Linked DNA regions of Anolis sagrei. The protein of the gene in region 3 interacts with the protein of the main gene of each other region in a biochemical or structural test. Links are inferred from orthologs where the notes say so. Each region holds a gene or a part of one and is shown on either strand. Other genes may lie near its edges.

Region 1 (7,206 bases), on a different chromosome or scaffold from region 3:
TGCAGAAGCGGTGCCGGACCCCAAAGTGGCGCATGAGGTAAGCCAGGTCGATGGTCCAGATGCTCTTGGTCAAACCAAGCTCCTGGACAGCCCTCTGGAACTCGGCGTCATCAAGGAGGTTCAGGTACCTGCCAGGAAGAAGTTGTAAAATATTTTGGTGGCACTATTATATAGAATAATTAATATAATAAATATAACGTAACAATTATATAATTATTATAAATATTTATTATATTATAATGTAATTATTATATTATCATTATACTACAATTTTAATAATACTATTATTCCATTGTACTTTAATATAATAACTAAATCATTATATTATATTAGTTTGTAATTAATATAACTATTATATGATAATTTAATAATTATACTAGGTATAATAGTACTATTATATTATTGTTTTTATTATATTATTGTTGTAAGATTTATATTCTTTCATTATATTCTTTTTCTATTCTACTGTAATATATTTATATTGTTAATATAATGTACCAATTATATTATATTCTTTCATTATTCTATTCTATTAAATTACTATTATAATATAATTGTCATATTATTATATTGTTTAATTGGGATATTGTTGAATTTTATTTTAATTATATTATATTATTATTATAATATAAATGTATAATGTTATTTCAATGTATTATTATTCTATTAAAATTATACCATCATAAAATATAATACTTATATCCGTTCATCGTGTTATTTGCATATGTGTAATGAGGTCACAATTATGAGACGGCTGTCGCACTCACTTGAGGACCATCCTGGAGCAGGCCAGGCCGCAGTCCCAGTGATAGAGCTGCTGGAGGACTGGAACGTTCAGCTGCACTATTCCCACTGCAGTGCAATATCCGTGCGAAGCATGTCCCCGTCGTGTGAGGGAAAAGACACAAGGCGTTTATACTTCATGGGAACCACTCAGGACTACTGAGGAACAACTAAACTGCAGGAAGGGAGGTCCGTGCTAAAGGCGTTCGCAAGCGTGTGAAGGGCATTGCAGTTGTGCAAGGGGGTGTTACAATCATGCCAGGAACAGTGAGACCTTGCAGTTAGTAACCGCACTTGTGCAAGTGACAGTACACAAATGGATTGTACAGTCGTGTGAATGGCATTCCAGTTATTATGCTCGTGCAGCAGAGGTTACAGTTGTGTAAGGAACGTTACAATCGTGTGAGGCATTATATGATGGTGTGAAGGATGTTACGGCCATGAAGGGAACTTGACAATTGTGCAAAGGAGGTTACAACTGGGCAAAGAAGGGAGGTTACAATTGTGTGAGAGGTGTAACAGTGCAAGTGACATTGTACCAATGCAAGGGGCACTATAATAGTGTGACAGGCATTAAGTTCACGCAAGAGGTGTTATAATAGTGTGAGGAGGGATCATGATCCAGTATAGCAACAGTGCAAGGGGGGCATAACAGTGCGAGGGGCATCATGATTCAATGTGAGAATCACACTAGTGCAGGAGGCATAATAATATTGCAAGGGGCATTATGATCCAGTGCAAGAAGCATCACAATAATGCAAGGGGGTGTGATAATAGTGCAAGGGGGTATCACGATCCAGTGAAAAGCATTGCGACAGCACGAGGGGCGTAATAATAGTGCAAGGGTGGGAATTATGATCAGGCGCAAGAAGAATTGCAAGCAGGTGTAATAATAGTGCGAGTGGGACACAATAGGCCGGTTGTTAGCCGCCCTGAGTCCCTCTGTGGAGGTTGAGATAGGACGGGATACAAATGTCCGAAATATATAAATTATTTATTTATTTATTTATTTGGTAGTTTTGTATACCGGTCTTCTCACCTCCATTCGAGGGACTCGGGCCGGTTTCCAACATCAATATTACAGACCGTCATCAAAACATCATATTTCTAAATCACACTAAAACATTAAAACATTGAAACAATTAAAATAGCAAAAATACAATCGTATGATTACACTGGTCAGTCGTCATCAAAGTCATTATTCGTCGTCATCCATCCATATCACAGGATCATGGCTCATTCGCTGAATGCCAGTCCCCAAAGCCAGGTTTTCACCTGTTTCCTGAACGTTAAGATCGAAGGGGCAGTTCTGATCTCCAGTGGAAGGGAGTTCCAGAGTCGAGGGGCCACCACCGAGAAGGCCCTGTCTCTCGTCCCCACCAGCCGCGCCTGTGAGGCCGGTGGGATCGAGAGCAGGGCCCCTCCAGACGATCTTAGTAATCTTGATGGCTCATAGGGGAGGATACGTTCGGACAGGTAAATTGGGCCGGAATAAAATAAAATAATAGTGTGAGGGGCATCATGAGCCAGTGTGAGAAGCACTGCAAAAGGGCGAGGGGTGCAATAATAGCGTGAGGGGCCCCTCACAATCAAGTGTGAAAAGCATCGCAACAGTGTGAGGGGGCATATTAAACGGTGCAAGAGACATCATGTTCCAGTGTGAGAATCGCAATAGTACAAGGGGTGTAATAACAGTGCGAGGGGCATTACGATCCAGTGTAAAAAGCATCGCAATAATGTGAAGGGGCATAATAATAATGTGTGGAGGCGCAATGATCCAGTGTGAGTGGCATCGCAGTAGTGTAAGGTAAGGTAAAGGTAGTCGGCCTATGAGCCCACGAGGACTTTGAGATCTTCCGGGGAGGCCCTGCTATCGATCCCGCCTGCGTCACAGGCACGGCTGGCGGGGACGAGAGATAGGGCCTTCTCGGTGGTGGCTCCTCGGCTGTGGAACACCCTTCCCGTAGACATCAGGCTAGCCCCCTCCCTGTTGATTTTCCGCAGGAAGCTGAAGACCTGGCTGTTTAAGAAGGCATTTGAATAGAAGTGCAATGACTGGTAACTTGACCATGGAATGGAACAATAGAAATGGTATTGGATTGTGAACTTGACGATGAGACGACTCGGAATGACTTTGTAATAATGTTGATGTTTTTGATGAGATGTTTTGCTAATGATGTACTGCGGATTATTTGTCACTATGTCTTGTATTTTGCACCTGTTTTTCTATGTTGTACACCGCAATGAGTCGCCATTAGGCTGAGAATTGCGGCATATAAGCGTAGTAAATAAATAAATAAATAAATAGTCCCCTGACATTAAGTCCAGTCATGTCTGACTCTGGTGTAGTGTAGTGTAAGCGCGTGTAATAATAATGCAAATGGGACACAAAGTGCAAGGGAAAATTACGATTCAGTGTGATAAGAGTGCAAAGGGGCATAATAATAGTGTGAAGGAGCACTATGGCGGTGCCAGAAGCAGCATGAGGGGTATGCTAACACTCCCTGCTCCTACTCAGAGACCCTTCCTGTCTTTGCCCCCCCTCCCTTTGCCCTCAGTGACCGTGCCCTCTGCGCATGCTCAGGGGCTCACCACCGACCTGAGGGCGGGGTCTGGGCCTCTTCTTCTTCCTCCTCTTCTTCTTCCTCCTCTTCTTCTTCCTCCTCCTCTTCTCTGGGGCTCTTCATGGCTCTCTGAAGGCAGGCAGGCAGGAAGGGAAGCCTCCCTTCCTCGCTTCCTGCCGGGCTCCGCCCCTGGCCACGCCCCTGGCCACGCCCCTTGCGGCTCACTTCAGGCCTGAAGAGGTGAGGAAGGCCCCGGCTCCGCCCTTTGTCCCCAAGCCCCGCCCCTTGCCTTTGTGGCCCTGGCTCCGCCCCTTGCATTTAAGACCAAGGCCGTAGCTCCGCCTCTATCACTAAGCCTCGCCCCTTGCGTCTAAAGCCAGAGGATTGGAAGGCCTTGGCCCCGCCCTCTCTCATCAAGCCCCGCCCCTTGAGACCAAGAGAAGGAAGGCCCTAACCTCGCCCCCTTTCCCGAAGCCACGCCCCTTCCGAAAAAGGCCTTGCCCCGCCCACTATCCGATAAGCCACGTCCCTGGCGTTGTTTTGAGTCCTACGGAGCATGCGCATGTCTTGACCACCTTCACTCCAATGGAAATACCATCTCAAGACGCACGATATTGGAATCCGTTCGTTTATGAGGCAAACACAAAGCGGAACTGTAGTCGCCGCCCTTGGGTCTCCCCGCCGGAGCCCAAAAAGGACCGCACCGCTCGTAACCATAGAGTCCCGTAGCTTTCTATTGGAGAGGTGGAAAGGATAGAACGTCATGACTTCCGGTATTAACCGGAAGCCGTTGCTAAAAGTTCCGCACGGAAATCTATGGTTTAAAAAAAGAGCGCGGGGTGGCGGTGGAGCGGACGACACTTCCGCTTCCTCCTCTTCCGCTTTGCATGCTGGGAGGCCGGGCTTTGATCGAATTCACGCTGTAGCGACATCCGAAATCGTACGAGAGAAGGCTTGTTCTTTATTATTGAAGATTATCATATAAAATAGCATAAGAAAGTGTAATAATCTAGAATATATTATATATATATATTAACTTACTATAAAATAAGGTAGTATAACGATAGATGATCGAATATATAATATAGTATGTATATAGTAACATAATATAAAATAAGAGAGTATCATAATCTAGAATGTAATAGAATCTAATACATAATCTATAATATACTATATAATAACCTAATATAAAATAAGACAATGTAATAGCATATCGTATATTACATTTTCTTTTGATTTTATTACAATTATTATTGTATTTTCTTATATATGATGTTATATTGCATTATTATATTTTCTTTTGATTATATTATTATGAGTTCTACGTTATTACATTTTGGACTTTATTGTGATTATATAGTATATTATATTGCTATATTATATTATATTATAATAATTATGATATTTTCCTTGATTATATTATTTTATTGTTTTGTTCTTTTTGTCGTGTCAGGAGTGACTTGAGAAACTGCAAGTCGCTTCTGGTGTGAGAGAATTGGCCGTCTGCAAGGACGTTGCCCAGGGGATGCCCGGATGATTTGATGTTTTTATCATCCTTGTGGGAGGCTTCTCTCATGTCCTCATGTATGAGGAGCTGGAGCTGATAAAGGGAGCTCATCCGCCTCTCCCCGGATTCGAACCTGCGACCTGTCAGGGTTTAACCTACTGCACCACCGGGGGCTCCTTGTTGGGGCCCCTGTGAGCTCACTTCCTGTCCCTCCCTTTTCTCTCCTGGCCAGCTGTCCATCACCCACTTCCATCCTTATCATGTCGATCGGGGTCCCCATCAAGGTCCTCCATGAGGCTGAGGGACACATTGTCACTTGCGAGACAAACACCGGGGAGGTCTACCGCGGGAAGCTCATTGAGGCCGAGGACAACATGAACTGCCAGGTATCAATGGCTTATTGATTAATTTATTATTATTATTAATATATTGTTATCTGTACTGTCAAAGGCTTAATAATAACATTGTTATCTGCATTGTCGAATAATATATTATCGTTATTATATTTATTGTTGTTATAATAAGAAGAAGAATCTTTATTTCTATCCTACCCTATCTCCCCAATGGGGACTCAGAGCGCTTCTCAAGATACATGGAGCAGCAACCATTCAATGCTGTAAAGGGCGACCGACAGTAAAGACGACAACCAGTAGTTAAATAATACACCTTCATCACATAATCATGGAATATTACAAATAATTAAATGACACTACAAATCCATTTTAACTGGACTTATTTTAATTAGATTAATAAAAATTAAAAACATTAACATTTAAAGGAGAGAAACCAGAAGATTACATTATATATTACATTCTATTAAAATTATCCGAAGTGGACAAGAATAGCACAGGATCATATATGTGGACAGAGAAAGGCATAAAAGAATATTAAATATATATATGCTTACTACTAATAATAATATCCAGATGTAAGCTTATTATATTTGTTGTTGTTGTTGTTATATTTATTGTTGTAATTGTAATTATAGTAATAAACTTTATTTGTATCCCTCCCTATCTCCCCAATGGGGAAACATTCAGTGCTGTAAGGTGCAACCAACAAATCAAAAAACTACCATGAATTAAATAATAACACATTACACATCAGGTATTAATAACAATGTCTTTGCTATTAATTTTGTTATTAACCGTGGTAGCACAGTGGTTAAAGCTGCTAGCTGCAGGAAAGGCTGTTAACCGGAGAGTCAACTGTTTGAAGCCACGAGTCAGGGTAAGCTCCCAACTGCTCTAGCTCCTGCCTACCTAGCAGTTTGAAAGAATGCAAGGCAAGTAGATCAGTAGGTACCGCCTCAGTGGGAAGGGAAAAGGGCACCCCATGCAGATAAACAGACATGCCGGCAATACAATTAGAGAAGTCTATGGAAAACAGGCTCCTCAGCATGGAAAATGGAACAAGATCACCTTCAGTTGAGTATCACCTCCAGATGCCGGAGATGGGAAAAGGCGGAAGCCCTTGACCTTTGTCTTATATGTCTTTGTTCACTGTGTGTGTAAAAAGGCATTGAATGTTTGCCTCATATCAGTATTGTAATCCGTTCTGAGTCCCTCCGGGGAGATAAAGTGGAATATAAAGATTATTATTATTATTATCAGGTAATAATCATGTTACATTTATTGTATTTATTATTGTTATAATTATATTGTTGTTACAGTATTATTATTATTCTATATTATTATTTTCAGGCAATAATGATGTATTTAGTATTATACTTATTGTTATATAGTATTATAGTGTAGTTATTATATATTATTATTTTCAGGCCATCATAATGATGTATTTATTAGATTATTTTCTATTTATTAATAATAGTAATAAAACTATTACTACTTTTGCTACTCATGGTGGTTTCCAATAATAATATTTATTATTATATTATTGTGATATTTCTATATTATTATTTTCAGCTAAAATAATGATGTCATTATTATATTTATTATTATTATATTATGGCTATTGTATATTGTTATTTTCAGGCAATAATAATGATGTATTTATTAATATATTTCTTATTGTTATATTTCTTCTTATTGAATGATTGATTTTTTTAATGAAAAATCAAACCGTACAATTCACCATTCTGGACAAGGTGGCAGGAAAGGTATAACAAATGAATAGACAATGACTCCACTAAGGCTGAAAAATCCACTAATTTGAAGACTACTGTGAAGTTATTGCATGAATTACAATGAAGTTTTTACCGGGAGCAAGAGTTAAGGCTATTTTGCTTTCTTTCTAATCAGTACAAGGAAACTGTTGCCTTTTATCATTACAAACAGTGATACTAAGATTTGTTAATATTTTAAAACACATTTTCTTAAAAAATATGTATGA
Region 2 (7,655 bases), on a different chromosome or scaffold from region 3:
AAGAAGGAGCCTCCACCACACTCGGGGGCAGAGAGTTCCACTGCTGAACGGCTCTCATGTTCAGATGGAATCTCCTCTCTTGTAGTTTGAAGCCATTGTTTTGTATCCTAGTCTCCAGGGAAGCAGAAAACAAGCTTGCTCCCTCCTCCCTGTGGCTTCCTCTCACATATTTATACATGGCTATCATATCCCCTCTCAGCCTTCTCTTCTTCAGACTAAACATGCTCAGCTCGTTAAGCCACTCCTCATAGGGCTTGTTCTCCAGACCCTTGATCCTTTTAATCGCCCTCCTCTGGCTTGTCAATATCTCTCTTGAATTGTGGTGCCCAGAATTGGACACAATATTCCAGGTGTGGTCTAACCAAAGCTGAATAGAGGGGTAGCATTACTTCCCTAGATCTATACACTAGGCTCCTCTTGATGCAGGCCAAAATCCCATCGGCTTTTTTTTGCTGCCACATCACATTGTTGGCCCATGTTTAACTTGTTGTCCACAAGGACTCCAAGATCTTTTTCGCACTGCTCTCGAGCCAGGCATTGTCACCCATTCTGTATCCTTGCATTTCATTTTTTTCTGCCTAAGTGGAGTATCTTGCATTTGTCACTGTTGAGCTTAGTTTTAGCCCATCTCTCTCATCTGTTCAGATCGTTTTGAATCCTGCTGCTGTCCTCTGGAGTATTGGCTATCCCTCCCAATTTGGTGTCGTCTGCCAACTTGATGATCCTGCCTTCTAACCCTTCCTCTAAAACATTAATAAAGATGTTGAACAGGACCATACTCAGGACGGAACCCTGCTTATATGGCACTCCCGAGGAAATACTGGGGAGCAGCCATTGGGTTCGTTCCCTTAACCAATTACAGATCCACCTAACCATAGTTTTGTCTAGCCCACATTTGACTAGTATGTTTGCCAGAAGGAAATGGGAGAACTTTTTGAAGGCCTTACTGAAATCCAGTTACGCTACATCCATGGCATTCCCTGCATCTACCCAGCTTGTAACTCTCTCAAAAAAAGAGATAAGATTAGTCTGACATGAATTATTTTTGATAAATCCATGTTGACGATCAACAAAGTGGAATAATAATCTTTTCATTCTTTTCAACGTGTTGCCTTAGAAGAACTTTGGTGGGGCCAAGGGCAAGGACCCAGCCAGGAAGACAAACACAAAAGTCCCCTCCCTCAGTGATTTCATCCTCTGATGAAGAGGACCTGTTGGAAGGGGCACTGTAAGCACTAGCAGCACATGATCATCAAGTTTGATCATCAAGCATGATCATCAAGTTTGCAGACGACACCAAATTGGGAGGGATAGCCAATAGTCCAGAGGACAGGAGCAGGATTCAAAGGGATCTTGACAGATTAGAGAGATGGGCCAAAACTAACAAAATGAAGTTCAACAGTGACAAATGCAAGATACTCCACTTTGGCAGAAAAAATGAAATGCAAAGATACAGAATGGGTGACGCCTGGCTCGAGAGCAGTACGTGTGAAAAAGATCTTGGAGTCCTCGTGGACAACAAGTTAAACATGAGCCAACAATGTCATGGGGCGGCAAAAAAAGCCAATGGGATTTTGGCCTGCATCAATAGGAGCATAGTGTCTAGATCTAAGGAAGTAATGCTACCCCTCTATTCTGCTTTGGTTAGACCACATCTGGAATATTGTGTCCAATTCTGGGCACCACAATTCAAGAGAGATATTGACAAGCTGGAATGGGTCCAGAGGAGGGCAACTAAAATGATCAAGGGTCTGGAGAACAAGCCCTATGAGGAGCGGCTTAGGGAACTGGGCATGTTTAGCCTGAAGAAGAGAAGGCTGAGAGGAGATATGATAGCCATGTATAAATATGTGAGAGGAAGCCACAGGGAGGAGGGAGCAAGCTTGTTTTCTGCTTCCTTGGAGACTAGGACGCGGAACAATGGCTTCAAACTACAAGAAAGGAGATTCCATCTGAACATGAGGAAGAACTTCCTGACTGTGAGAGCCGTTCAGCAGTGGAACTTTCTGCCCCGGAGTGTGGTGGAGGCTCCTTCTTTGGAAGCTTTTAAGCAGAGGCTGGATGGCCATTTGTCAGGGGTGATTTGAATGCAATATTCCTGCTTCTTGACAGAATGGGGTTGGACTGGATGGCCCATGAGGTCTCTTCCAACTCTTTGATTCTATGATTCTATGTGCACAGTTTAGAAGGTGTGCGGGAGGGCCTGTTCGCAGAGCACTTAATGCTTTTTTTCCAGAATCTTGCCTGGTATTGACGTGAAGCTGACAGGACAGTAATTGTTTGAGTCATCCTTTTGCCCTTCTTGAAGACAGATAGGGACCACATTTGCGCTCCTCCAATCTGCTGGGACATATCTGCGTGTGGACTCCGATAACAAAGCAGATATTGTGGGATTGTCTACCTTGATATTCTGGGATTATAGATCCACCTAGCCAATTACAGATCCTTTCTTTCCTCACCTCCTATCTTTTCCCCTTTTCTTTCTCTCTCTCTTTTCCTGTTTTCCTTCTTTTTTGCTTCCTTCCCTTCCCTTTACACACATGTCACTTAGCAGCAACCAAGCTACTTCACTCTTTTCCTTTCCCAGTGACATTATAGGGCTAGCAACAGATTGATAGATGATAGAGCAGGCCTGGGCCAACTTTGGGCCCTCTAGGAGTTTTGGACTCCAACTCCCATCATTCCTAACAGCCTCAGGCCCTTTTATTTTCTCCCTCAGCCGCTTAAGCGGCTGAGGGAGAAAATAAAAAGGCCTGAGGCTGTTAGGAATGATGGGAGTTGGAGTCCAAAACACCTGGAGGGCCCAAATTGGCCCAGGCCTGTTCTATAGTATGAAGCCACGTGGTTCTCCTCCTCACCCCTGCCGGGCGACCGCCCCCAGAGTGCTGGCCACTTCCGGGACGCAGTTGAGGTCTCTCCCGCAAGAGACGCGAGCCGCCGCCGAGCCGGGCCCGACCGAAGGCGCCGCCGCTGTGTTCGCCGCCATGTCCCGCCACACAGAGAAGCCAGAACCGTGAGCCCGCGCCCACTCTAGCACTTTAACCAATCCGCGGCCGTTTTACAGAAAGCAGCCAATCCAATGAGGCCTTTCAAAGCCAGAGTGGAGGGGGCGGAGTCAGCACCGGCCTAGCTAAACCAATCAAAATCCGAGCCGGAGTCAGTGACTGAGAGAGCATGAGGTAAAGGTTCTATTTCCCATCATGCACTCGGGAGGGGGAAAAAAGGCACATGACGGTGGAAGACTACACTTCCCAGGATGCATCGCGAAGCAGGCAACGCTATGGAATGCCTTATAAGGGAGGAGGTGGAATGCTCTGTTTGTGTCTGAGGGCCAGTGGCGCAATGGATAACGCGTCTGACTACGGATCAGAAGATTCTAGGTTCGACTCCTGGCTGGCTCGAAACAGACTTAACTTTTCTTCATTGGAAACTTTAGCAAGAGTAATTAAGATTCTGACCTTCTGATCTTCCAAACACATATTAACAGTTAAACTACAAGGAGGTTGAGTGCATTCTTAAAAGGGGGGTTACCACATTTACAATGTATTTCAAATGAATTTATTTCCAATTTTATTTATTTATTTACACTGAATTTATTTCCAATTTTATTTATTCATAATTTATTTACAATTTTATTTACTTATTTATTTACAAAATATTTACAATGAATTTATTTCCAATTTTATTTATTTATTTAAAATTTATTTACAATGAATCTATTTACAATTTTATTTATTTATTTATTTACAATGTGTTTAGAAAGAATTTATTTACAATTTTATTCATTTGTTTATTTACAATTTATATACAATAAATCTATTTATAATTTATTTATTTATTTATTTACAATTTTTGTATTTATTTATTTACAATTTACTTATTTACAATTTTATTTATTTATTTACAATTTATTTATTTATTTATTTACAATTTATTTACAATTAATTTATTTACAATTAATTTATTTACAATTTATTTATTTATTTACAATATATTTACAATGAATTTATTTACAATTTTATTTATTTATTTATTTACAATGAATTTATTTATAATTTTAGTTATTTACTTATTTACAATGCATTTATTTACAATTTTATTTATTTATTTACAATATATTTACAATTAATTTATTTACAATTTTATTTATTTATTTATTTAAAATTTATTTACAATTTTATTTATTTATTTATTTAAAACTTATTTACAATGAATTGAGAATGAAATTCTTGTTTATTCACATTTGGTAATACAGTTTATCCCTTATCTGAAATGCTTGGGATACAAAGTGTTTTGGATTTTGTTTTTTTACATATACAAGATAATAATAATAAGAAGAAGAAGAACTCAAGAATGGAAAATGGAACGTTGGTGAACAGGAAAAGAGATTTAAAGATGGGCTCAAAGCCAACCTTAAAAACTCTGGCATAGACACTGAGAACTGGGAAGCCCTGGCCCTTGAGCGCTCCAGCTGGAGGTCAGCTGTGACCAGCAGTGCTGCAGAATTCGAAGAAGCATGAATGGAGGTTGAAAGGGAGAAACGTGCCAAGAGGAAGGCGTGTCAACCCAACCCAGACCAGGACCGCCTTCCACCTGGAAACCAATGCCCTCACTGCGGGAGGAGATACAGATCAAGAAGAGGGCTCCACAGTCACCTACGGACCCACCTTGGAGGATTATCCTACTCGGACAGCGAGGGATGGCCTAAGTAAGTAAGTAAGAAGAAGAGTTCAAACTACTCTGGGACTTCCGAATTCAGACAGACAAGAGTTTTGGAACACAACACTCCATACCTCACGATCGTGTTAAGAAACAAAGTATGGATCATCAATGTAATCCTGGGTGATAGCAGGATTGAAGGGAAACAACTGGAAAAGTTGGAAAAGCTGACACGATATGAGGATTTAAAGATCGAACTGCAAAGAGTCTGGCACAAGCCAGTCAAGGGGGTCCCAGTGGTGATCGGCACACTGGGTGCAGTGCTTCAAGACCTTGGCCTGCACTTAAAAACAATCGCCACTGACAAAATAACCATCTGTCAGCTGCAAAAGGCCACCTTACTGGGATCTGCACACATTATTTCTATTTATTTAGGGCATTTATATCCCGTCCTATCTCATCTCCGCAGAGGGACTCAGGGAGGCTAACAACCGGCACAGCACAGTGCCCACAATAAGAAAAGCATAAATATACATAATATAATATAATAAAAACAGTTTAGTACCATTTAATATTTGTATTGTTGACTGGAATCACTGGGTTGTAGGTTTTTTCAGGTTATATGGCCATGTTCTAGAGGCATTCTCTCCTGACGTTTCGCCTGCATCTATGGCAAGCATCCTCAGAGGTTGTGAGGTTGGAACTAGGAAAATTGGGTTTATATATCTGTGGAATGACCAGGGTGGGACAAAGAACTCTTGTCTGCTGGAGCTAGGTGTGAATGTTTCAACTGACTGCCTTGATTAGCATTTGATGGCCTGAATCTGGAACTTCCAGATTCAGATTTGCAACCATAAAATTATTTTTGTTCCTACTTCATAACTGTAATTTTCCTACTATTATGAATTGTAATGTAAATATCTGATATGCAGGATATATTAATTAACTGGATGGAATTCGGCACAAATACCCGATAGGCCCAAATTTGAATACTGGTGAGGTTGGAGTGGGGATTGATTTTGTCAATTGGGAGTTGTAGCTGCTGGGATTTATAGTTAGCCTACAATCGAAGAGCATTCTGAACTCCACCAACAATGGAATTTAACCAAACTTGGCACATAGAACTCCCATGACCAACAGAAAATACAGAAAGGGTTCAGTGGCTTTGACCTTGAGTTTTGGATTTGTAGTTCACCTACATTCAGGGAGCACTGTGGACTCAAATAATGATCGATCGGACCAAACTTGGCACAAATACTCAATGTGCCCAAATGTGAACACTGGTGGAGTTTGGGAGGAAATAGACCTTGACATTTGGGAGTTGTAGTTGCTCGGGTTTATAGTTCCCCTACAATCAAAGAGCAGTGTGAACTCCACCAACAATAGAATTGTTGCCCAGCTTACCTGTCTGAACATATCTCCCTCTATGAATGTTCTGTTGCGTGCTGGACCTGTAAAGAATTTCCTTTTAGAACAGGACGTGCAACCTTTGCCCAGCGGGAAGCCAGGGGGCCCAAGGAGAAGTTCTCAGAGGTTTTCCACCACAAATGATCTTTAGATGGCTTGTGAAGTATAACAAAGTATTTTATTAATGAAGAATCAAACAGAAACTTCTCTTGTCTTCAATAAAGCTAAACAAATGATTCCAGACTTTAATGCAACTGGTAGCTTCCTAAACTTGCCCATGAAGGACAGGCAACTGCCTTCAATAACTTCTTCTTTACTTTAAAGGAAAATCCCCTTTTTAACTTCTCCCTGGCTGACTGTAATCTAACCCTTACTGATGTGGGCTCCGCTACCGGGTTGAACTGCTTCTCGAACGCCGAGTGAACCTACCAGTAAAGGTTTAGATGTTCTCCAGCTGGAGTTCTTTGGTCTTTAGGGCTGTTTCCCTGAAAATCTTTGGAGACTCTTAAGACTGTTCTCCCGGAAAGTCTTAAGGGTTGAAGCTTTTGTACAGGGGAAGCTTGCACACGTCCTGTACATTAGCTTTCCTTGCTGAGACTAACTAAAATTGGCTCCCTTCCCGATGATGGACAGGTGACTTGCCCTACGACTGCAACCAAAGAAAGCCACCTATCTGCAGAGTCCCTGCAACCTTGGACTGCAAGCAACATCTAATACAAAGTAAATACAGTTGGAGCTCCTGGTATAGCTGTACCAGCACAATGAACCATCTCAGAGATTAAGGTAATTTGGGGAGGCCCTGCTCTTGGTTCCACCTTCCTCGCAAGTGTGATTGGTGGGGACGAGAAACAGGGCCTTCTCAGTACTTACTTACTTATTTAGCGATCCCTCGTTGGACGAGTAAGATGGTCTTCCATTATGGGTTTTCCTGTGGGTCCGCGTGTGGCTGCGGCGCCCTATTCTTGCTCTGCATCTTCTTCCGCAGTGTGGACATTGGTTTCCAGGTGGAAGGCGGTCCCGGTCGGGGTTGGCTTGATGCGCCTTCCTCCTGGCACGTTTCTCTCTTTCACCCTCCACTCGTGCCTCCTCAAATTCTGCAGCACTGCTGGTCACAGCTGACCTCCAGCTGGAGCAGTCAAGGGCCAGGACTTCCCAGTTCTCAGTGTCTATGCCAGAGTTTTTAAGGGGCCATCTTTAAATCTCTTTTCCTGTCCTCTAACATTCCGTTTTCTGTTCTTAAGTTCAGAGTAGAGCAACTGCTTTGGGAGACGGTGGTCAGGCATCCGGACAACGTGTCCGGCCCAGCGGAGTTGATGTTGGAGGACCATCGCTTCAATGCTGGTGGTCTTTGCTTCTTCCAGCACGCTGACGTTTGTCCGCTTGTCTTCCCAGGAGATTTGCAGGATTTTCCGGAGGCAGCGCTGATGGAATCGTTCCAGGAGTTGCATGTGACGTCTGTAGACAGTCCACGTTTCACAGGCATATAGCAGGGTTGGGAGGACAATAGCTTTATAGAGAAGCACCTTGGTCTCCCTACGGATGCCTTCTCAGTGGTGGGTCTTTGACTATGGAACCCCCACCAACAATAG
Region 3 (7,904 bases):
TCTACCTATTCTTGGACTGCAACTCCCAGTAGTCCTGATCCATCCATCTATCTACCTATCTCTATCTAATCTATCTAACTGGAGGATTGCTGGAAATTGCAGTCCAGGAATAGGAAACTGGAGATATGCAGGTTTTGGGATGCGCTCAAAGATTTCCAAGGAGAAGAAAGCTTGCAGCATAGAAGCGGTGCATTTGGATCATCCTCCTCTCCTAAAGGGCCTTGTCTAGGGGATGCTGGGAGCTGTAGTCCGGAAGAGAGTGTAGTTATGCTATTGTGTGTTTTGTTTGCCAGGAGAGTAGTTTTTGCGCATGTGCTGTAGCGTTTTTTGCTTTTTTGACCTTTTAAGTCTCTTCTGCTGTGTTTGTCAGTGTTTTTATGAGTGATGGTCACTCGTTGGCCTGATAGGTGTCTTGTGTCCAAATTTAGTGTCAATTCATCCAGTGGTTTTTGAGTTATGTTAAACGAACATTACATTTTTATTTATATAGATTTTATTTATTGTTTATTACAAAATATGCTTCTGCAACGTAACACCAAATTCAAGCAGGCATTTGGTTAATTCGGTGCAATGAATGTGTTGATTACGGATTGGTAATATGGATGATGAAATTGGACCAGGATTTTAGTTAGGAGATGTATTGGATTGTGATTTACGTGTAATATTGTGTATTATGTTTTTATGGTTTTAATTGTATACTGTGCACTGTATATTTTGTTGTAAACCGTGTTGAGTCGCCAGTTAGGCTGAGAAACGGCGGTATACAAGGACAGGAAATAAATAAATAAAAAATAAATTCTTGTTACTCCGGCACTCCTTCACCATCCTGCCAATGCAGTTACTACTAAAAAAAAATAGTCAGACAGAGAGAAAGGGGGACTGTGGGGCTTGGCAGGTATAAAAAAAGCTTTGTAAAAGAAGCTACTTTCTCAAAGGATTTGTGAACTGAGGTATACCTGCATTCCAGTTACTGAAATTACAGAGCTAAATTCTGCTGACATACATGCAGTGATGTTCTAGCATCTCTGCATACTGATAAGAATGCCAGAAGGACTTGATTCTCTTGAACAGCCCGGCTCCTTCACCTATCCATCGCCACTGGGTATTTTGAGTACTGATATTTTGTTTTACATAATATCTGAATGGGAAGTCCTTTTGTCAACAAAGCCAAGGAAAAAATACTGTTTCTGGACTACAATCACTTGAGGGCCATGTATCAAGATGTGAGGGAAGTCATTGGGAGGAGGAAGCAAGCTTGTTTTCTGCTGCCCTGAAGACTAGGATGCGATGGAACAATGGCTTCAAAGTATTGTAGAAGGTTTTAATGGCTGGAATCATTAGGTATAGAGGCATTCTCTCCTGACGTTTCACCTGCATCTATGGCACGCATCCTCAGAGGTTGTGAGGTCTTTCAGAATGCTTGCCATAGATGCAGGCAAAACGTCAGGAGAGAATGCTTCTAGAACATGGCCATATAGTCCCAAAAAACCTACAACAACCCAATGGCTTCAAACTACAGGAAAGGAGATTCCACCTGAACATGAGGAAGAACTTCCTAACTGTGTGAGCAGTTCAGCCATGAAACTCTCTCCCCTGGAGTGTGGTGGAGGCTCCTTTTTTGGAGGCTTTTAAGCAGATGCTGAATGGTCATCTGTTGGGAGTGCTTTGAATGCCATTTTCCTGCTTCTTAGCAGAATGGGGTTGGACTGGATAGAAAATTGCATTCAAAGCACCCCCGACAGATGACCATTCAGCCTCTGCTTAAAAGCCTCCAAAGAAGGTCTCTGGGGCTCTCACAGTCAGGAAGATTCTATGATTCTATTAAGTTCTTCCTAATGTTCAGATGGAATCTCCTTTCTTGTAGTTTGAAGCCATAGCTCCATTGTGTCCTAGTCTCCAAGGAAGCAGAAAACAAGCTTGCTCCCTCCTCCCTGTGGCTTCCTCTCACATATTTATACATGGCTATCATATCTCCTCTCAGCCTTCTCTTCTTCAGGCTAAACATGCCCAGCTCCTTAAGCCGCTCCTCATAGGGCTTGTTCTCCAGACCATTGATCATTTTAGTCGCCCTCCTCTGGACACATTCCAGCTTGTCAATATCTCTCTTGAGTTGTGGTGCCCAGAATTGGACACAGTATTCCAGGTGTGGTCTAACCAAAGCAGAATAGAGGGGTAGCATTACTCCCCTAGATCTAGACACTATGCTCCTATTGATGCAGGCCAAAATCCCATTGGCTTTTTTTGCCGCTACATCACATTGTTGGCTCATGTTTAACTTGTTAAACATGATATATAAACCTCAGTTGTCTAGTTTCCAACGCATCTCACAACCTCCGAGGATGCTTGCCATAGATGTGGGCGAAACGTCAGGAGGGAATGCTTCTCTCCTGGATGGCCATCTGTCAGGGGTGCTTTGAATGCAATATTCCTGCTTCTTGGCAGAATGGGGTTGGACTGGATGGCCCATGAGGTCTCTTCCAACTCTAGGATTCTATGATTCTACAAGAGAGCGACTAGGATGCAGAACAATGACTTCAAACTGCAAGAGAGGAGATTCCATCTGAACATGAGGAAGAACTTCCTGACTGTGAGAGCCGTTCAGCAGTGGAACTCTCTGCCCCGGAGTGTGGTGGAGGCTCCTTCTTTGGAAGCTTTTAAGCAGAGGCTGGATGGCCATCTGTCAGGGGTGATTTGAATGCAATATTCCTGCTTCTTGGCAGAATGGGGTTGGACTGGATGGCCCATGAGGTCTCTTCCAACTCTAGGATTCTATGATTCGAGGTGAGGCCTACCCAAACTCGGCGACTCACCTCTCGGCCACGAAGAGGGTCCCGCTGCCCAGGCGTCGCCCTCCCAGCACGGCTTCGGTCTCGGCCTGCCTCAGCCGGACGCCTTCGCTCGGCTCCGGGAGGCGTTTCAGGAAACTCATGGCTGCCTGAAAGGAGGGGAGGAAACAGCTAGGCCGCGTCCCCTCCGCTCCGGCACAAAACGGAAACGCGAGGAACCGGAAGCAGCGCGCTGTCACCTCTTTCCGCTTCCGCCTCACGCGACAAAGACCTTTCTGCGTCTCTCCCTTTCTCTCCTTCGCCACAACGCCGTGACGTCATAATCCACTGAGAGTTCCGGACTTCGTCTCCCAGAAGCCCTTGCCATAACGACTAAGGCAGTGGGATTCTGGGAGTCGGAGTTCGGGAGTATCTAAAGCGGGGAATGAAAGGCGGCCATGTTGGATGTTAGTCTAAAACGAGACGGGCCTAGGCCAACTTGGGCCCTCTGTGTGTTTTGGACTTCAACTCCCACAATTCCTAACAGCCTATTAGGCTGTTAGGAATTGTGGGAGTTGAAGTCCAAAACACACAGAGGGCCCAAGTTGGCCTAGGCCTGAGCTAAGGCCTTTCTCAATAAGGCTTGTCTCTTAATAATAATAATAATAATAATAATAATAATAATAATAATGATATAAAATAAATAATCATAGTAGAGAGAGAGAGAATATATATATATTATAATAATTACTATGTTTACTATTCTTACAGTAGATAAATTATTATTATTTACATTATATATATATATAGTAAATAATAATAGTAATAATAATTTATATATAGAAAGAGAATATATATATATATAATAATTATTATGTTTACTATTCTTATACTAGATAAATTATTATTACTATTATTACTATTATTTACATTATGTATATATATTGTAAATAATAATAGTAATAGTAATTTATATATATAGAGAAAGTGAGAATATATATATATAATTATTATGTTTACTACTCTTATACTAGATAAACTATTATTATTACTATTATTATTATTTACATTATATATATATATATATATATATATATATATATATATATATAGTAAATAATAATAATAATAATAATAATTTATCCAGCAAAAGAATAGTAATCATTTTTGTTTCTTTTTCCTGCAGGAAGGAACTGTAATAATAATAATAATAATATCAAATATATTAATATCAAATAAATTACAAAATATAATACATTATAAAATTGTAATTATAAAATATAATAATAATAATAGTACAGTATTATTTTGTCCAACATAATAGTAAACATTTTTGTTCTTTTCTCAGCAGTAGGGAACTGTAGTAATAATAATAATAATAATAATAATAAAGTTATATTAAATAAATTATAAAATATAATGTATTACAAAATATAATACATTATAAAATTATAAGTATAAAACATAAAGATAATAGTATAGTATTATTTTGTCCAACATAATAGTAAACATTTTTGTTCTTTTCTCTGCAGGAGGGAACTGTAATAATAATAATAATAATAAATATAATAATATAAAATAAATTACAAAGTATAATATATTACAAAATATAATATATTATAAAATTGTAATTATAAAATATTATAATAATAGTATTATTTTAAATAGTATTATTTTGTCCAACATAATAAACATTTTTGTTCTTTTCTCTGTATACAGTAGCGAACTGTATTAATGTTTTGTAGTTTTTATATTGTTTCTTTTCCCTGCAGGAAGGAACTGTAATAATAATAATGATAATGATGATAATAATAATAGAATTAATAATTATTATAATATCAAATAAATTACAAAATATAATACATTATTAAATATAAAGATAATAGTATAGTATTATTTTGTCCAACATAATAGTAAACATTTTTGTTCTTTTCTCTGTATACAGTAGGGAACTGGATGGTCTCTTCCAACCCTTTGATTCTAATAATAATATATAAAATTGTAATTATAAAATATAATAATATAGTATTATTTTGTCCAGCATAAGAATAGTAAACACATTAGGTTCTTGTGGGTTTTTTTGGGCTATAGAGCCATGTTCTAGAGGCATTTCTCCTGACGTTTCGCCTGCATCTATGGCAAGCATCCTCAGAGGCAGTGCAGGAAAGAACTATAATAATAATAATAATAATAATAATAATAATAATTTATATAACCCACAAACCATCAATGAAAGGTCACAATACCTTGGAACTGCTCAAACTTGATCCGAAACGGATGATAATAGTGCTTGTTAGTTCTTGCAAGTACACGGCACCTTTACAATTGATTATCCACATTGAGTATCCTTACATTGCTCTTTGCTCAAGTCTTTGATTTCTTTTTTAGAAGTACAATTACAGAGCAAAAAATAGAAGAAAATGAGAAAAGAGAGGGAACTACTTCAGACCTGAATGTGGACTAAGCATTAAGGCACCTAAGGAGATAAAGGTTGAGTAACCTTTATCCGGAACTATTAAATACTCTGAAATTCAAAATTGTCCACATGGTTGACTGTGATAGTAGCGCCTTTTGCTGTCTGATGGTTCAATGTAGACAAACTGTGTTTCATGCAGAAAAGTATTATTTAAATCTATAAAAGTCAGAGTTTGTATATATTTATGTTGGTTTGTACCACAAAGCCTCCTCCATGGCTTGATGGATCTGGACCAAATGTGACACCTTCATTATCCAACTTAAAATAATTGAGGGGTTTGGGGGGGAAAAAGGCCCTTTCAGAGCAGCGGGAAAGACAAGGAACAAAGTGGATTGGTTGTTGCTAGGTGAAGTGGCCCTCTGTGATGTCACTAGGAAAGAAAGGTGACACGTATAAGATGAAGGGAGGAAAGAAAGAATGAAAAGGGAAAGGGGTATAAAGGGAAGGAAGAAAAAAAAGACAAAAGGGAGGAGAAAAGAAGGGATGAAAGAAAGGAGCGAAGAAAAAAGAAAAGGAAAAGAAGGGGAAGGAAGAAATGAGAAAAAAGGGGGACAGGTATGTGAAGGAAAAAAAGAGGGAAAGGAAAGGATTGAAGACCGGAAGGGATGAAGGGAGGGAAGAAAGAAATAGAGAAAAGGAAAAGGAGAAGGAGGAAAAAGGGACACATGTGTGAAAGAAAACAAGGGAAGAATGAAAGAAATTGGAAAGGAAAGGAAAAAGGATGAAAAGGAAGGAAGAAAAAGAAGCGAAAGGTAAGGTAAAGAAAGGGAGACAGATGTGTGAAGGAAAACAAGGGAAGAAGGAAAGAAATAAAGGAAAGACAAGGGAAGAGAAAGGGAGGGAAGAAAGGAAAAGAAAGGGGATAGGTGTCCGAACGTATCTCCTTCTACGTGCCACCTCTGAACTTAAGATCGTCTGGGGAGGCCCTGCTCTCGACCCTGCCTTTGTCTCAAACACGCTTGGTGGGGACGAGGGACAGGGCCTTCTCAGTGGTGGCCCTCCACCTGTGGAATTTGCTCCCCGGGGAAATTAGGTCATCCCTCCTCACCTTTAGAAAAAAGGTTAAAACGTGGCTGTGGGACCAGGCCTTTGGGCAATCAGATTAAAGGACAATTGATAATGTTGACTATGGCATGGAAGAGGATTTGGATAAGTGGAGTAATCATTAGTAGATGGCTAGCTAAACGGCCACCAGACGGGCAATAGCTAATCAGAATCTAAGTATACTGTTTTAATCTTTATTAATGTTCATGTATAATTGTTATATTTGTTATTCTGTATTTTATGTTGTGGCATTGAATTGTTGCCAATTGTAAGCCGCCCTGAGTCCCCCCAGGGGTTGAGAAGGGCAGAGTAGAAATGTTCAAAATAAATAATATAACAAGGGAAGAAAGAAAGGAATAAACAAGAAAGGAAGGGAAGAATGGAAGAAGGGAGGGAAGAATGAAAAAGAAGAGGGGCAGATGTGTGAATGAAAACAAGGGAAGAAGAAAAGGAAGGAAAGACAAGAGAAGGGAACAATAAATGGAAAAAGGGAAGGAAGAAAAAGAGAAAGGAAAGGAAATGAAGGAAAGGGAAACAGATGTGTGAAGAAAAACAAGGGAAGAAGGAAAGGAAGAAATAAGAAAGGAAAGGAAGAATAAGGGAAAGGGAGAAGGTGTATGAGGGAAACTGAGGAAGCAAAGAGTGAACCACAAAAAGGACCTGCACAAAAAGAGTTGTCACTGTGAGGTAGGCCCCCGCAGAGCTGGAGAAGGCAGGCAGCGGTCCTAACAACATCCCAAAAACTGCATATATATATATAGTCGAAGGCTTTCATGGCCGGAATCATTGGGTTGTTGTAGGTTTTTTCAGGCTATATGGCCATGGTCTAGAGGCATTCTCTCCTGACGTTTTGCCTGCATCTATGACAAGCATCCTTACTACCTCTGAGGATGCTTGCCATAGATGCAGGCGAAATGTCAGGAGAGAATGCCTCTAGACCATGGCCATATAGCCCGAAAAAACCTACAACAACCCAGCATATATATATATATATATATATATACACACACACACACACACACACACACACACACACATACACACACACACACTACCTATGGTGTACATGTCCAGGAAATATAAGCTAATTTTATATAATTATGTAAGTATGGTACAGGTAAAAAAAAACTTTCAAAATCCCAAACACTTCTGGTCCCAAGCCTTTTGACTAAAGGATGCTCAACCTGTATTAAGGAAAGAGAAAAAAGGGAAAAGAATAGAATGAAAGGGAAGAAAGAAAATCATACTTCAAAAAAGACATTTTCTGGAAGATGTTTCCTTTAAAACACGCATTTGTGTGTCACTAGATCGATGCGATTGCATAATATATAGGGAATGCTTATCTTTCCAAACTTGGGGGTACTGAAGTATTTTAGGCAGTGGGAAGAGAAAACAGGATCTAACTACAAGGGGTATTTTTTAAGTAAGGTCCGTTTTGTTGTAGACACGAGTAGTTCGCGCACATACCGCAACGAGCGCGTGTGTCATGTTCCAGCATGCCTCGGGAACAACTGTGCTCAGTTTCCGCTCTGTAGCTAACCTGTACGGTTCTGTTCTGTGCTTTAAAAATGTTTAAGACTATCAACTCACCCTCCGCATGTGAGGTTCGCTCAGTGATA

The links. The genes of interacting proteins can lie anywhere in the genome.
Region 1: the proteins of CLNS1A (region 3) and SNRPD3 form a complex in vitro, tested with the Homo sapiens proteins (2 studies listed by BioGRID). The link is inferred for Anolis sagrei from reciprocal best matches to the Homo sapiens genes CLNS1A and SNRPD3.
Region 2: the proteins of CLNS1A (region 3) and PRMT5 form a complex in vitro, tested with the Homo sapiens proteins (5 studies listed by BioGRID and IntAct, with this or other methods). The link is inferred for Anolis sagrei from reciprocal best matches to the Homo sapiens genes CLNS1A and PRMT5.

The regions. Positions count from the first base shown.
Region 1 is NC_090034.1:49,010,321-49,017,526, reverse strand, and holds the start of SNRPD3 (small nuclear ribonucleoprotein Sm D3), read left to right. Parts: upstream 1-4,182; 5' UTR 4,183-4,287; intron 4,288-5,086; 5' UTR 5,087-5,114; coding exon 5,115-5,240; intron 5,241-7,206. Other genes in the region: protein GUCD1, read right to left, coding at 1-128, 768-852, 3,383-3,470. UniProt on the Homo sapiens protein: Plays a role in pre-mRNA splicing as a core component of the spliceosomal U1, U2, U4 and U5 small nuclear ribonucleoproteins (snRNPs), the building blocks of the spliceosome.
Region 2 is NC_090026.1:9,495,234-9,502,888, reverse strand, and holds the start of PRMT5 (protein arginine N-methyltransferase 5), read right to left. Parts: upstream 3,025-7,655; 5' UTR 2,987-3,024; coding exon 2,859-2,986; intron 1-2,858. UniProt on the Homo sapiens protein: Arginine methyltransferase that can both catalyze the formation of omega-N monomethylarginine (MMA) and symmetrical dimethylarginine (sDMA), with a preference for the formation of MMA.
Region 3 is NC_090023.1:9,832,571-9,840,474, forward strand, and holds the start of CLNS1A (methylosome subunit pICln), read right to left. Parts: upstream 3,016-7,904; 5' UTR 2,930-3,015; coding exon 2,811-2,929; intron 1-2,810. UniProt on the Homo sapiens protein: Involved in both the assembly of spliceosomal snRNPs and the methylation of Sm proteins.